3 linked regions of the Sus scrofa genome follow. The protein of the gene in region 1 interacts with the protein of each later gene in a pairwise test. Links are inferred from orthologs where the notes say so. Each region holds a gene or a part of one and is shown on either strand. Other genes may lie near its edges.

The links.
Region 2: the proteins of KPNA2 (region 1) and HNRNPC interact in binary tests that used the Homo sapiens proteins (3 or more experiments, as listed by UniProt). The link is inferred for Sus scrofa from reciprocal best matches to the Homo sapiens genes KPNA2 and HNRNPC.
Region 3: the proteins of KPNA2 (region 1) and NMNAT1 interact in a two-hybrid assay, tested with the Homo sapiens proteins (3 studies listed by BioGRID and IntAct). The two-hybrid records come from large-scale screens. The link is inferred for Sus scrofa from reciprocal best matches to the Homo sapiens genes KPNA2 and NMNAT1.

Annotation. Positions count from the first base shown.
Region 1 is NC_010454.4:14,292,515-14,298,336, reverse strand, and holds the end of KPNA2 (importin subunit alpha-1), read right to left. Parts: intron 5,617-5,822; coding exon 5,434-5,616; intron 3,261-5,433; coding exon 3,111-3,260; intron 1,938-3,110; coding exon 1,845-1,937; 3' UTR 1,588-1,844; downstream 1-1,587.
Region 2 is NC_010449.5:77,947,771-77,952,934, reverse strand, and holds part of HNRNPC (heterogeneous nuclear ribonucleoproteins C1/C2), read right to left. Parts: intron 2,185-5,164; 5' UTR 2,148-2,184; coding exon 1,907-2,147; intron 1-1,906. UniProt on the Homo sapiens protein: Binds pre-mRNA and nucleates the assembly of 40S hnRNP particles. Interacts with poly-U tracts in the 3'-UTR or 5'-UTR of mRNA and modulates the stability and the level of translation of bound mRNA molecules. Single HNRNPC tetramers bind 230-240 nucleotides.
Region 3 is NC_010448.4:70,301,422-70,305,889, forward strand, and holds part of NMNAT1 (nicotinamide/nicotinic acid mononucleotide adenylyltransferase 1), read left to right. Parts: intron 1-2,414; coding exon 2,415-2,560; intron 2,561-3,649; coding exon 3,650-4,050; 3' UTR 4,051-4,054; exon of another isoform or gene 4,055-4,289; 3' UTR 4,290-4,468.

The DNA.
Region 1 (5,822 bases):
GAAATCAGCTGGCTCCTGTCCGTTACTTCAGTCGTGCCTCTACACCAGCAAATCCAGACCTTATACTGTGATCCAAGTGTATTATGTTATCACACCAGCCCCTTTAAAGCCATAAAACTCCACCTACCTTAAAACAAACATCTAGGACATCCAGGATGGCTTCCACTCTTGCTTTTCCCAAGTTAAAGCCTTTTGGATCCAGCAACCAAGGGACTTCCTTGGGGGGAAAGAGAGGGGAAATGGGGAGTCCAGCAAAGGTAGGCGGGGAAGGCGGACAGGCTGCAGATCTAGTCCGGTCACTTCTCTCCTCCCTCCACTTAATGAGAGCATTTGTACAGAAAAAGCCGAGAAAATGACCAGCGCTCCAAACAAGGTGCCCCGAATTTCTAGGAGGAACACCTGTAACAGGGTTCATTAGGAACTTGGCTGTGAGAGGTGCTTTAAACAAGCATTAGCCAACATATTCTCTATTTCTGTAAACAAACAAGATGAGCACTATTTGTGGAAGGAACTTTAAAAGCCTGTTATCTACAAAGAGCAAAATGTACTTTTGTCTGTGAACGAACTGGGCTAAGTTCGCTTACCACTACACCCACTGAGAGAGGTAAGTGGAAATTCAGTGCATCGTACAACTGACTTGAAGGAACTCTCTCATTTTTCTGAATACAGTAGCCCTTACAGTCATAAATTACTTTCACCTTGAGTCTTCAGCCCAAATCCCCACCTCTGCCACCACAGCTTTTACCTTCTGTGGGGGAAACAGAGCAGTGAAGACTTGGCTCATCACTTCTCCGCTCATCAAAAAAGCAGAGGCTTACAGTACGTTAAAAATGCAGTTGGTTTCCTGGGGCGCTGGAGTCAATACTCCACCCTCCCCCTGCCACTTCTGCTAATGGCACAGCTACCTCTTCCGAGCAGCAAGTGGCTTTCGCAACCCAGACGGCACAGACAGGGATGAAATTAAAAAACAGAACCTACAGGACTTGAATCCCACTCCTTCCCGACTAAACTTTCCCAGGTGATGCCAACGTGCAGCCTTGAAACCACTTTCAGCCTTGAAGTTTGGGAGGAATGAATTGCACTTGTAGCTCCAGGAAAAAATGAAGATGAAATTTAAGATTTTTATCCCATCTTCCTGGCCAGTAAGACTTATGGAGACACTGGCTGAGGGTTTCTGGGAAATTTTACTCGTTCTCCAGTGAAAACTTCTGAAAAAATTGATAGGTGTGAAATGGATGTGAAGTCTGAAAGCGCCATTGGCCATTTTTACCAACCAAAAGGGGAAGCAGTTTAGAACAAAGCAGAATCAATCAGTGCTCGCTTCGGCAGCACATATACTAAAATGGGAAAGATACAGAGATTAGCATGGCCCCTGCGCAAGGATGACACGCAAATTCGTGAAGCGTTCCATAAAAAAAAAACAAAGCAGAATCAAAAGTGGGCAGGAAGTTATCAAGCCCATATCCTTGATGACATGACAAAATGATGTCTGCAACCAGAACATCTTTGGTAGTCATGGTTCAGTTCCCCCTCATCTATAACCTTTAGGAGCCCCAAACTAGAAAGCAACACATAGGAAATGCAAAGTAAAGAAAAGGGTGGAATTTAATCTTTATTTACAGGACACTGCAAGATATGAAATTCCACATAGAAATAAGAACCCTACTGAGAGTAGAAGCTTCATACAGTATGTACAGTTTGGAACTGTTCAAGTATAGTTTCAGTTGTAAAAAGTGCTACAATAACAAACCACATTTAAAAAGAGCTCTTAGTAGAGAAACAGTAAGACCAACTTTTATCAAACATAGTACGCAACAAACAACTTTATGCCTCAGATGTGCAGTCTAAAAGTTGAAGGTCCCAGTAGCGCTGTCCTGAACTTGGAATGTATATCCTTCAGAGGTAGTTTCTGGCACAACATTTTGATCTTCCTCTTCCTGGAGTATTTAAAAACAAAACAATATAAAATGTTTCTAAGAGGCAGATGCCTACAAGTTTGTATTTACTCTTTTTTCTTCTTTTATCTCTAAGCTGAAAACGAAAACCAGTTTACCCATGTCTCCCACCCCCACTTTTGGCAACCACAAATCTGTTCTTGTGTGCATGTTTCTTTTTGGCCATGGCAATGACTGCAGCATTTGGAAGTTCCTGGGCCAGGGATAGAACCTGCACCACAGAAGCACCAATAGAGGATCCTTAACCTGCTTAGCCACAGGGGAACTCCGTGTGTGTGTTTTTAACATCACACATATAAGAGAGATCACCTGGTGGTATTTGTCTAACTCATTTCACTTAGCATAAATACCTACTAGGTATTCACTCCTAAGGTCCTCATTTGCATATTTCACCTTTAATCCTGCATTGTATCTTTTTTTTTTTCCGTCTCTTGTCTTTTTAGGGCTGCACCCTCGGCATATGGAGGTTCCCAGGCTAGAGGTCTAATCGGAGTTGTTGCCAGCAGCCTACGCCAGAGCCATAGCAATGTCAGATCTGAGCTGCGTCTCTGACCTACACCACAGCTCACGGCAACACCAGATCCTTAACCCACTGGGTGAGGTCAGGGATTGAATCTGAAACCTCATGGTTCCTAGTCGGATTCATTTCCACTGCACCAAGATGGGAACTCCCCCCTTTGTTTTGTCTTTTGTAATCCTGCGCCATATTTTCAATATCTGAAAGAGTGGATGGAAAGCTCTGAAACTTGCCAACTCATGAGTGCCTGGGAGGGAAGTTATGAACAGGTTAAGAAATGCTACTACGGCAACAGAAAAGCAGAGATTTTCTTAACCTGTCACTTCAGAAGGCAGCTTATTAGGCCAGAGGCTCACTTCTCTAACGTCTATACAAACTCACTCTCAAGATAGTCTAAGCTCTCTAAGGCTATTCATTTGAAAGTAAATGGGTGACTTTTTAATACCTCAGTTTAAAAAGATGGTATTATCTTCAAGTCAAACATGAGATGAACAAATATGTATGTTATACCCCACTTGAGACTGATATGATATACTGCTATACTGAACAGCGCTCATCTAAAAAGTATGAGGAAAAATATCTTATGGGCTTAACCTTAAATGTGTATTTTTCCAGTTCTTATTGACATTGCTACTCACCTCCACAGAGAAATACTTCTCAATCAAGTTTAATGAAGCTTTGTACACAGACTCATTTTCATGGTTTTGGAGAGCTTCAATTTTGTCCAGACCTCCACATTCTTCAATCATTATACTAAGTTTCTCAGTTTCACCTAGTTTCTCAGCAGCCTGCAAAAAATTCCAAGTTTAGTAGCCTACACTTTGAAAGACCTTTTTTTTTTTTTTTTTTTTTTTTTTTTTTGGTCTTTTTGTCTTTATAAGGCCGCAACTGCAGCACATGGAGGTTCCCAGGCTAGGGGTCTAATGGAGCTGTAGCCGCCGGCCTACACCACAGCCACAGCAACACCAGATCCTTAACCCACTGAGCAAGGCCAGGGATCGAACCCCAAACCTCATGATTCCTAGTTGGATTCATTTCCACTGTGCCATGACGGGAACTCCCTGAAAGTTCTATTTTAATGAAGAAAACAATTTCTATGTTTTAGTGTCCATGTGTATCAGACAGAAATAAACACGTGAGTTTATTTAACAACCCTATGAGAGAGAACTATCTGCATTTTACCTATGTTTTATATTTTTGAAAAATTCAAGCGAATCAGATTTTGCTTCTTAGCAACTACTTCTGTAGCTTTCAGCCACAAAGATCTTAGTATAGTTCTTAACCTTTTCTGTACATCAAAATCACCCAGGCAACTTTAAAAATGACACTATATCCAGGTTCAGTTGGCCTGTGATGGGAATAGGAAATTACTGTTTTGTAAAGACTCCAGATAATCCCAAGGTGTATGTAGTAAGAGTGGAGAATCACTGTCCAAGGGTAAAGATGGCCTGTGGTTTGTAAAAACAAATTCCTCTGACTGGATCATTTGTTGATACCAAGAGAATGGTACGGTGGTCAGATACTTTTCAAAGTCCTCAACTTTTAGGACATACATAAATATTTACAAGTAAAATAACGTATTTGCTTCAAAATAAAAACTTAAGGTAAGTGTGAGTAGGAAAAGAAGCCAAATGTTGCCGACTTATTTATGTTAGGTAATCATATTCTAAACTCAACTTTGATATGTGAAAATTTCCATAATCAAAGTTGTTGAGTAAGACCTAACCACCATTAAATACTGACAAAGTGCCATGTGCCAGCACATGTGGATCACTCAGGGCTTGAAACCAGAAGAAAAATATAACTGACCGGGTCGTTCGAATTTTTTTTTTTCTTTTTGCCTTTTCTAGGGCTGCACCTGCAGCATATGGAGATTCCCAGGCTAGGGGTCTAATAGGAGCTGTAGCCGCCAGCCTACACCAGAGCCACAGCAACGCAGGATCCGAGCCGCGTCTGTGACCTACACCACAGTTCATGGCAACGATGGATCCTTAGCCCACTGAGCGAGCCAAGGATCAAACCCGCAACCTCGTGGTTCCCAGTTGGATTCGTTAACCACCAAGCCACGACAGGAACTCCTGGTTGGTCAAATTTAATTTCATACTGAATTACAGTATGAAATTGGGGAATCAGGAGTTCCTGTCATGGCACAGCAGAAAACAAATCTGACTAGGAACCATAAGGTTTTGGGTTCAATCCCTGGCCTCACTCAGTGGGTTAAAGATCTGGCGTTGCTGTGAGCTGTGTTGTAGGTCGCAGACGCAGCTTGGATCTGATGTTGCTGTGGCTCTGGTGTAGGCCAGTGGCTACAGCTCTGATTCGACCCCCAGCGTGGCAACCTCCATATGCTGCCAGTGCGGCCCTAAAAAGACAAAAGACCAAAAAAAAAAACCAAAAAACAAAAACTGGGGGATTAAGACATCTTGACAAAATAAACAGATATGAATCGTGTCCACATATGTACCTGACCTCAATTCAGTCACATCATGCATTTGTCATTCCTTTTATATCTCTTATAATCCTTGCCAGGTCTTATTTTATCAAGAGTGTGGCTCATATGAAGAGGCTTTCTGATTCTGTGGCCCACTCAGGAAATTTAGCTGCCTCCACCCCCACCTTGCCATCATCTAAATAGTAAACCAGGGAATTCCCACCATGGCTCAGCGGAAACGAACCTGATTAACATCCATGAGGACAAAGGTTTGATCCCTGGCCTCGCTCAGTGGATTAAGGATCTGGCGTTGCCATGAGCTGTGATGGAGGCTGGCAGCTACAGCTCCAATTCGACCCCTAGCCTAAGAACCTCCATATGCCACCGGTGCGGCCCTAAAAAAAGACCAAAAAACAAAAAAAACCCACCAAACCTCTAGTGTCATCACTTTTGAGGCTAAGCTTTGATCCCTGACCTGTGAATTTCTGCATGCCAAGGGTGTGGCCAAAAAAAAAAAAAAGGCAACTTACCTGAAAGATATTAGAAATGGCATCCAGAATAACCAGGATAATTTTGGTATCTTTTGCAGTTAAGAGGTTCATCAATGGTTCTATTATGCCACAGTGGACAAGGTACACGATCTGTTCAACTGTTCCACCACTTGTGTAATTGGTCACAGCCCATACAGCTTCCTTTTGTGTCTTAAAGTCTGCCTAATAAACACAAGAAAACAGGTGTATTTCAGAATGGGCATAAAAATAAGATTCCAAAAGTACTCTTTTAGAAAAATAGTGACTAAAACTACCATCTGACTATTATTTAGCAAAAGACTATAAGTAGGACCTAACATTAGTACATTAAGAACCTTATGAAGTACAGTTCTACCAAGTGGCCTCTGGAAGCAATCCTTTATGAAGGC
Region 2 (5,164 bases), on another chromosome or scaffold:
AATATACACACTGACTTCAAAGACTTTGTATGAAAAAAGAATGTAAAGAATTCCAATCATATTTTTATATGATTATGGGATAGTTACATAAAATACATTATTAAAATGTTTCACCCAATTCTTTTACTATGAACATTAGTTCAACAAATTAAATGTTATGATAAAAAGTTTGAGACAAGAGAGGAAGAAATCTGAATATGGACTGAATATTAGATGGTATTAAATAATCACTATGAATTTTGTGTGTGATAAGGGCATGTGGTTTGCATTTTGTTTAAAAGTCCTTATATACTAGGTGTGTACTGAAGTTTTCAAATTACTCTGGCAGGGAGTTCCCATTGTGGCACAGCAGAAAGGAATCTGACTAGTATCCATGAGGATGCGGGTTCAATCCCTGGCCTTGCTCAGTGGGTCAGGGATCTAGCATTGCTGTGAGCTGTAATTTGAGTCACAGTTGCACCTCAGATCCTGAATTGCTGTGGCTGTGGTATAGGAGGGCATCTATAACTCCAATTAGACTTCCAGCCTGGGAACTTCCGTATGTTGTGGGTGCGGCCCTAAAAAGCAAAAAGCAAACAAAATTTTCTGTACAATGTGATCTGTTGTAAAAATTTATTAAAGATTATAATCATTACGGAATGCTGAAGTTTTAAGTTGTATTAGAGAGAAATACCAACATGGAAACACTTAAAGGGGTAAAAAACTCACTCCAACCTGAAGAGAAAAAGGCGAGTAGAAAATGAAGTTGGACTTTAAATGTGCTCTACATTTACATTTTAAAAGTGAATAAATACAAACTCCTGAAAATCCTGAAAACAAAATGAAAATTTAAGCCACTGCCAGAATATTCAAACAAAATTTAAGACCTCATTTTAATTATGAATTTCTACAAACCATAAATCTGAAGTAAACAATTCGTTAAATTGGCAAATGATGTATTATCAACAGTGGAAATAGCCAGTCTATGGTACTCAGACACCTGTTTTTTTCATAAAAATTAAAAAGAAACTGACTTGCTTTACAAACCCGTTAGATTCTCTGATATTCATACCCAAGAAAATACAAACTATATCAAAATTACTATTACTGACATGAAATCCTAAAAGCTGACAAGCAATTACAAAGCTATTCAAGGAGATGAAGTTCTACAATCATCAGGAACATACTTATGTGTTCTAATAGTCTTAATATATGAGATTTAAAGTTTAGAATATAAACTATCTTTGAGCATATCTCTTTTCTCAAAACTTGAACATGCTAGATCAGAGCTGACACCTATTAGGGGAACTAATATCTAAAACAACATAATCAGAGTTTATGGTACTAAAACAGATTTAACAGTAACTTTTACTGAATGTAACATGCTCAATTAGAAGCTTCTTATGAATCATCCTCTCAATTTACTTAAATTCTTTAGACCACCACAGTGTCACTGCCTCAGGTAAGAAATAATAAACGGAGGTACTACTATCTTTGTTTTAACAAATGAGAAAAATTAAGGCTCAGATAACTACATATGCTACCCAACACACATAGTTGTGAGGCTCCAAAGTGGAGCCAAACAATTGGACTCCAGAGCACATGACTGAGCACTGTCTTCACCCATTCCACTGTGACTGGAAGGACAGCAATTTAGGTAGCAATAGTATCTTATGAAATATCATTCCCATCTCCCCCTCCCCCAAACTCAAAACTACCAACTAAGGGTTAATTGGTCTCTACCACACAAAATAACCCAATAAGTTAAGTCTATTATAAACCTAACATTTTGATTAAGTTGATGCCAGTCGTAACATGCAGAACTAATACCAGATTGTTGTTAGCTTTATGGAGAAAGAGGAAGAGAAAGAGAGGACCGAACAGAAAGACTATAATCAATGAAAAATACATTCAACCCAGACCTTACCTAAAACCTGGCCAGCAATCATTCGGCCATCCTCTCCTGCAACAGCAGCTCGAGCATTTCTCTCATTAACGTACTGAACGAAGGCAAAGCCCTTATGAACAGAGCAACCCACGATTTTGCCATATTTTGAGAAGATTGCCTCCACATCAGATTTCTTGACCACAAGAGTATTGAGATTCCCAATGAATACACGGGAATTCATGGAGCGAGGATCTGTCTTGTTGGTAACGTTGCTGGCCATTGTCTTTGATGATAAGGTAATTCACAAAGCCGAAAAACTGAAAGGAAAAAAGAAATGCATTCAGGTGAAAAGATGCTAAAAACAAAATAATTCTTGATTAAAAACTTACTCTGAACCATCATGACTACCTAAATATAAGTCAACTAAAAGGATCTCACAGCAGCAAGTGTATTACTATTCAAAGACTATGGCACCTGAATACATCCTTATAGAATTTCACTCTTCTTTAGTATATTCTTGCTAGACTATCACTTCAAGGGGGCTGGGAAAGAGGGAATCTTCTTCACAGACTAGGGGCAACACGATCTTCTTGGACATTATTAATTCCAAGTGATATCCCTGTTTTAAAGTCCTCAAGCAAATTAGAACCCCATAAACTCTAAATTTCTCCTTGTTTTTCACCTTCCGAGTCACACTAACTTAACCATTCCTTGCCAACAATAACTCTACTTCTTGCGCACTGCTTTTACTAAAATGAGCTCATTCATTCCCCCAAATTCTGCCCACAAACTATCTTGAGCTAGATGAATGTGGACAAATGACACTCTACCCTTTACATATAATTAACTTTATTATACAAAAGCATTAAATAGAAGCAATTCACTCACTCTGGAATTAATCTATTTCCAGGTACTTCAACTAATTATAATATGCCATAGATATATATCTTAAGTATCAATACAACCTTTTTACAGAAAGCAATGACTCTTTACTTTTTGTGTGAGAATATATTACAAACTACAACCAAGATATTTAATAATACTGGATGGTGATGATGATAAAACTAGCAAGTAGAACACTGCATGAATCAAAGGACCCAGAGAACTACGGAAAAAAATACAACTTTCCTCACACTGTTTCAAAACAAAAATTACCTTTATGTCTGTCTGTCATGGAGGCAGAATCCTATTATAATTACCCAGAGATTCATGCTATCATTTTAGGTCTTCCAAAGTGAAATATTTTTTGGAATTCCCATTGTAGCTCAGTGGATTAAGAACCTGACACTGTGTCTGTGAGGATGTGAGTTTGATCCCTGGCCTTGGGTTAAAGGATCTGGTGTTGCCACAAGCTGCAGCTCTGATTCAAACCCTAGCCCAGGAACTTCCATATGCTACAGGTGCGGCGGCTATAAAAAGAAAAAAAAAGATTTTTTGGGGGGTCGCATCCACACCAGAGTAGCAACCCAAGCTGCTGCAGTGACAACACTGGACAATGGATCCTCAACCTGCTGAGTCACAAGAGAACTCCAAAGTAAAGATGTTTTGACATTCTTTAGCCATTTTTTTGGCTATGTCCCAGGCATGCCCAGGTCCCAGGCTAGTAGCACTGGCAATGCCAAATCCTTAGCTATTAGGCCACCAGGCAACTCCAAAATTCTTTAGCTTTTAATCAGTCCACTGCTCCTCCCCTCTCCAACCAAAGTTAAACCTGGTTTAAATGGATGCACCTTAGATTCTGAGTTAACATACTTAAGATTATTTCTCATGTAGCCCTTTGAAAGGTACCGAAGAATCTCAAAAAAATACCAATGTCCAATATCTATTATTTTTCCAATCCTCAAGAGAATGACAAACTAGTTTTCATGGGTTACATAAAAATGTCTTATACACACATAGAAAAAAAAAATTCAACATTTATATATGATCACTACCATTCTGACCCTGAAAACAACTGGTCATTTCACAAGCATACAGGTTTTAAAGCTGTAACAACAGCCTTTACCTCCTATCCTTTCTGAAATTCAAAAAACAGCTCATCTTTATTTTGGTTTCTAAGTTATATCTTTATAAATAGTCTTTTTGGACTAAGCAATAAAAAATTAACCACAGTGGCTACTGAGAATCAACAACCTTTCAATTAAGTGGGAGTGCCAGAAAGCCTTAGAACACCAAAGAATCAAAATCGAAACCTACTAAAAGGTCTAACTGGCTGCAAATATTTTTGCTTAGCTATTAGGGTTTACTATTATTATAAGTGGAAATATAAACTATTTTTCAGCAAATGTTTTTCACTAACAATAAATATATTAATAGCAAATACTGGAAAAATTCTCTCTAGGTTTCAACAAAAACAAAACTTGGTGTCAAGGCATCCCCATCAACTCCAAATGCAAGCTAACATGCATGGTATCTATTACTGTGGGAGTCTAAAAGACCCAGAAATAGAAGAATCCCAAAATATCCAGCTAGTATTTACTGGAAAGGGAAGTGATGTTAGAATAGCAGTTCCAACAGGGAAGGTTTTGTCTGCTCCAAAATGGATAAGTACAAGGTACTGCAGTAAAACAGTCTCAAGATGCTAGAGCAGTTTAGTATCTGTAAAATTTCAAAGCGAACTCAGCAGCCCCATGTACACCATTCCTTTCTCAATCCCTTTCTTCCCTCTAAAACACCTAATTTTAAAGTAAAATCCTTTTAAAATGTACTAAATGATATCACCTAAACATTTACCCCTAGATAGTATAGTCTTATTCATTAAAACAAACTTGAGGAATTTCCCATTGTGGCTCAGTGGTAACAAACCCAACTAATATCTGTGAAGATGAGGGTCTGATCCCTGGTCTTGCTCTGTGGGTTAAGATCCCGTGTTACCACAAGCTTTGGTGTAGGTTGCAGATGCATGGATCTAGTGTGGCTGCGGAGTAGGCCAGCAGCAGCAGCTCTGATTCAACCCCTAGCCCAGGAACTTCCATATGCCACAGATGTGGCCATTAACTAATAATTAAGAATCCCACTGCAGCAGTTTGGGTTGCTGTGACAGCGTGAGTTCAATGCCCGGCCTGTTGCAGTGGGTTAAAGGATCTGGTACTGCGGACTCAATCCCTAGCCTGGGAACTTCCATATGCTGCTGGTAAGGCCATTAAAAAGAAAAAAAAAAAAGAAAAAAAATCAAAATGCAGTATACACAATTGGATAATATGTAACTGGAGGCAAATAAACTACCTATATAAAAACTATGTACTCAGGAAAGAAACGGCAAAAATATTTAAAAATATTGTTCCATGGGTACTCTTT
Region 3 (4,468 bases), on another chromosome or scaffold:
TATTCTAAGCAGAAAGGGATTTTCGGTGCTCATCCGAAAATGTTGAAAGGGCTGGAAGAGTGGAAGCAGTGGTTTGTGTCAAGGTCACGTCTCCTTGGCCACAGCGGGAGTGAAGAAAACTGTTCCTGCTTTTGCTTCCACTGATGCTGTTACACTGTCCCAGTCTTCCTGTGTTGGTGCCTGGACAATGGAGTAGAGTCTGGCCGCCAGGCTTACACAGAAGGACGACTTGTCAGGTCCCCAGCCTTCCTTCCGGCTCTCACAAGTCAATCTCATCAGCGGAATCTCAGTGACCCCCGGAACCTGCCTCTGAGGACCTCTGGGAAATGTGTTTAGGGTGCGATTGAACACAGCCAGCAGCCAACACCTAGCACGGTGACTTGGGAGAAGACAGTGTCCTCTGTTTGTCGCCCAGAAGTTCTCCCATCAGAGACCAGACTCCAGGGTCCCCCACCTTGCCCCGCCTTCTCTGGCTCCATAGCAGCTTTACTGTCCATTATGTGTTCAACTCAGCGATTCAAGAGAGGGTGTGGCTCATCAGGTTAAGGATCTGGCATTGTCACTGCTGTAGCTCAGGTCACTGCGGTGGTGCAGGTTCAAATTCCCAGCCCAGGAACTTCACATGCCTCGGGATTTGGCCAAAAAAAGGGGGGGGGGGCAAAGGGATTATAAGCACTAAGGACCCAGAGTTGGCGCCTACAGGTGTGGCTCATGTTCCGTGAGGACCTGCATAGTTGTAAAGCCATGGACATCTTGCTGCCCGCCCAGAGGACACTGTACAAACCCTGCCTGTGGTCCCTGTGGTCTCTTCCTTTTAGGCTTTGGGCACTTGTCACCCTCTAGGACCTAATCCTTGGCATTGGGGTCTTCATTACTAGGCCAGGCCACACTCTTTAGTGGTCAAGGGAATGGGCGCTGGAACCAGACTGATGTGGTTCACATCCTGGCTTGGCCACTTACAAGCTAAATGACCTTGGGCGGATTGGTCAGTGTCCTCCTCTCTCAATAGGGATGGCAATTCTGATGTAATGCTGGCAGTAGTATAGTTGCTTCATAGTAACCAAAACATTCACTCAGCCACTTTGTTACTGAATGCCTCCTGTGTCCCAGAGACTCTGCCAGGAGCTGGAGTTGCCAACTCTAAGCCTTCACTTCCTCTCCATTGTGGGGATGATAATAATATGACTACGGCATGTCGACAATATTTAATTAAATCATCCTTGCAAAGGGTTTAGTGTAGTGGTTAACACACAATAAATAATCAAGGTTGGGAGTTCCCGACGTGGCGCAGCATAAACGAATCCGACTAGGAACCAAGAGGTTGAGGGTTTGATCCCTGGCCTCGCCCAGTGGGTTAAGGATCTGGCGTTTCCGTGAGCTGCTGTGTAGGTCGCAGACATGGCTCGAATCTGGTGTTGCTGTGGCTATGGTGTAGGCTGGCAGCTGTAGCTCTGATTAGACCCCTAGCCTGGGAACCTCCATATGCCGCAGGTACAGCCCTAGAAAAGACAAAAAAGAAAAAAATTTCAAGGTTGGTGTTTTCTTGTGGTGCAGCGGGTTTAGGATCTGACGTCATAGCATTGGCTCAGTGGCATGGTTCTATCCCTTCCCAGGAACTTCCACCTGCCTTGGGTGCAGCCAAAAAAAAAAAAATCGTGTTAACTCTTGTTATTATGACACAGGCACATACAGCTTAGAATAAGAATAGCTACCATTTGCTGTGCTCCCAGGATTTTCTTTGCTTTCCATTCTTTTTTTTTTTTTTTTTTTTTGGCCATGCCTGCAGCACATGGAAATTCCCAGGCTGGGAATCGAATTCAAGCCATAGCGGTGGCCCAAGCTGCTGCAGTGACAATGCTGGATCCTTAACCCACTGCATCGCAAGGGAACTCCAACCTCGCTTTCCATTCCTGGCAGCCATAGCCAGGGCTGCAGTGTACTGGCTAGCACCCATCCTGACTCAGCAGTACTGAGTACAGGAAGACATCATTCTGACTCGACAGGCATTGTGTGGACCTGTGGTTAAATGTGTTTAATTCAGAGTTCCTGTTGTAGCTCAGTGGTAACGAACCCAGCTAGTATCCATGAGGATGCAGGTTCGATCCTTGGCCTTGCTCAGTGGGTTAAGGATCCAGCATTGCCCTGAGCTGTGGTGTAGGTCACAGATGTGCTCAGATCCCACGTAGCTGTGGCTGTGGTGTAGGCCAGCAGCTATCGCTCAGATTCAACCCCTAGCCTGGGAACTTCCACGCCAGGAGTGCGGCCCCCCTGCCCCCCAAAAAAGGCGGGGGGGGGTTAATTCATCTCCCAACTTTTAACATTGTATGAGAGGCTCTTAGGTGTCTCCAGAGGGATGACATCTCAGTGGAGCATTGGGAGAAAGAGAAACGTTCTATTCCTTTGTTATTTTATAGGCACCATCAAGAGAAGCTAGAGGCCAGTAGCTGTGATCACCAGCAGGATTCACCTGTACTGAACAGGCCAGGACGGAAGAGGAAGTGGACTGAACAAAGACAAGATTTTAGTCAGAAGAAATCCGCAGAGCAAACAAAAACAAAAGGTCTGTGTATTTTACCAGGACCTACCAACGAGAGCTGATAAGACTCTAGGGCTGGAGTTCCCCTTGTGGCTCAGTGGGTTATGAAACCAACTAGTATCCATGAGGATGTGGGTTTGATCCCTGGCCTCCCTAAGGATCTGGTGTTGCTGTGGCTGTGGTGTAGGCTGGCAGCTGCAGCCCTGATTGGACCCCTAGTCTGGTGACTTCTATATGCTGCGGGTATGGCCCTAAAAAGACTCTGGGGCTGAGCAAACCCACTTTGTATTTTCTTTTCATATTGAGTGGGGGGCTGCCTGGAACATGCCCCCTCTTAGTTTCATGATGAGAGGAAGGGAGAGTCGGAGGCACCCTGGCTTGATGTGGGATCTCAACTCCAAGATCAGAGAGAGAACTCATGCTGCAGCGGGGAAAGTGCTGACTCCTAACCATAGACCATCAGGGAACTCCTCTGGCTCACTTCTGAGAATCTAAATCTGATAAAAACTATGAACCCGATAGCCAGAAAAACACATACACATTCATTTTGATGCAAGGAGTTATTAAAAAGGCAAAGCCTGGGTGTTCCCGCTGTGGCTCAGTGGATTAAAGACTTGACATTGTCTCATGAAGATGCAAGTTTGATCCCCACCCTCGCTCAGTGAGTTAAGGATCTGGCATTACCACAAGCTGCGGCTCACAGGTGCAACTTGGATCCAGTGCTGCAATGTGTAGGGTGTAGGCCACAAATGTAGCTCCAATTCAGCCCCTAGCTTGGGGGCCCCTGTGTGCCACAGGTTCAGCCCTAAAAAGAAAAAAAGCGAGAGAGAAAAAAGTTTTTTTAGGGCTGCATCTGCAGCATATGAAAGTTCCTAGGCTAGGGGTCGAGTTGGAGCTACAGCTACAGGCTTATAGGATCCAAGCCACGTCTGAGACCTACACCACCCAGCTCACGGCTGGGTCCTTAACCCACTGAGTGAGGTCAGGGATCAAACCCACATCGTCATGGATACTAGCCAGGTTCTTAACCCACTGAGCCACAATGGGAACTCCGAGAAAAAAATTTTTAATGAAAAGGCAGGGCCCCATGCTCTGTTTTCCTCTTCGTCCCAGGTGTGCCAAAGGTGAAGTTGCTGTGTGGAGCAGATCTGTTGGAGTCCTTCGGGGTCCCCAATCTGTGGAAGAGCGAGGACATCACCAAAATCGTGGGAGACTATGGGCTCATATGTATCACCCGGGCTGGAAATGACACTCAGAAGTTCATCTATGAATCCGACGTGCTGTGGAAACATCAGAACAACATCCACCTGGTGAACGAATGGATCACCAACGACATCTCATCCACGAAGATCCGGCGAGCCCTCCGCAGGGGCCAGAGCATCCGCTACTTGGTCCCGGATCTTGTCCAGGAGTACATTGAAGAGCACGGTCTCTACAGCTCCGAGAGCGAAGAGAGGAATGTTGGCATCATCCTGGCTCCTTTGCAGAGGAACACCGGGGGCACTGACGCATGAGCAGGTCTCCAGCAGGGTAGTTTGGACTTGCCTTTTGGGAGTGGAAGCAATCCGGGTGTTAGCAACTGGGAGAAGGAGTTGAATCCTCTAATAAAGTAAAGCTTCAGAGTAGTTTGTTACTAAATTAAAATCAGGTTTATCTTTTCATCAGAAGTTGCCAAGATGACTGTTTTCAATGTTTTATTTGTCTGTTTATTTGTTTAGAATATAAAAATCCCCCCCTTTTTTTCCTTTTTCAGCCACACTGGTATGGACGTTCCTAGGACAGGGATTGAATTCAAGCTGAAGCTTCGGGAACTCCCAGATCCCTTCGTCTTTAAAACAAGAGATTAGCAGCACTAAAATCCGAAGAGAATCAAACTAACTGCAAAAAGAATTCAAAAAGGACATTCTAGGAGTTCCCTTGTGGCACAGTGGG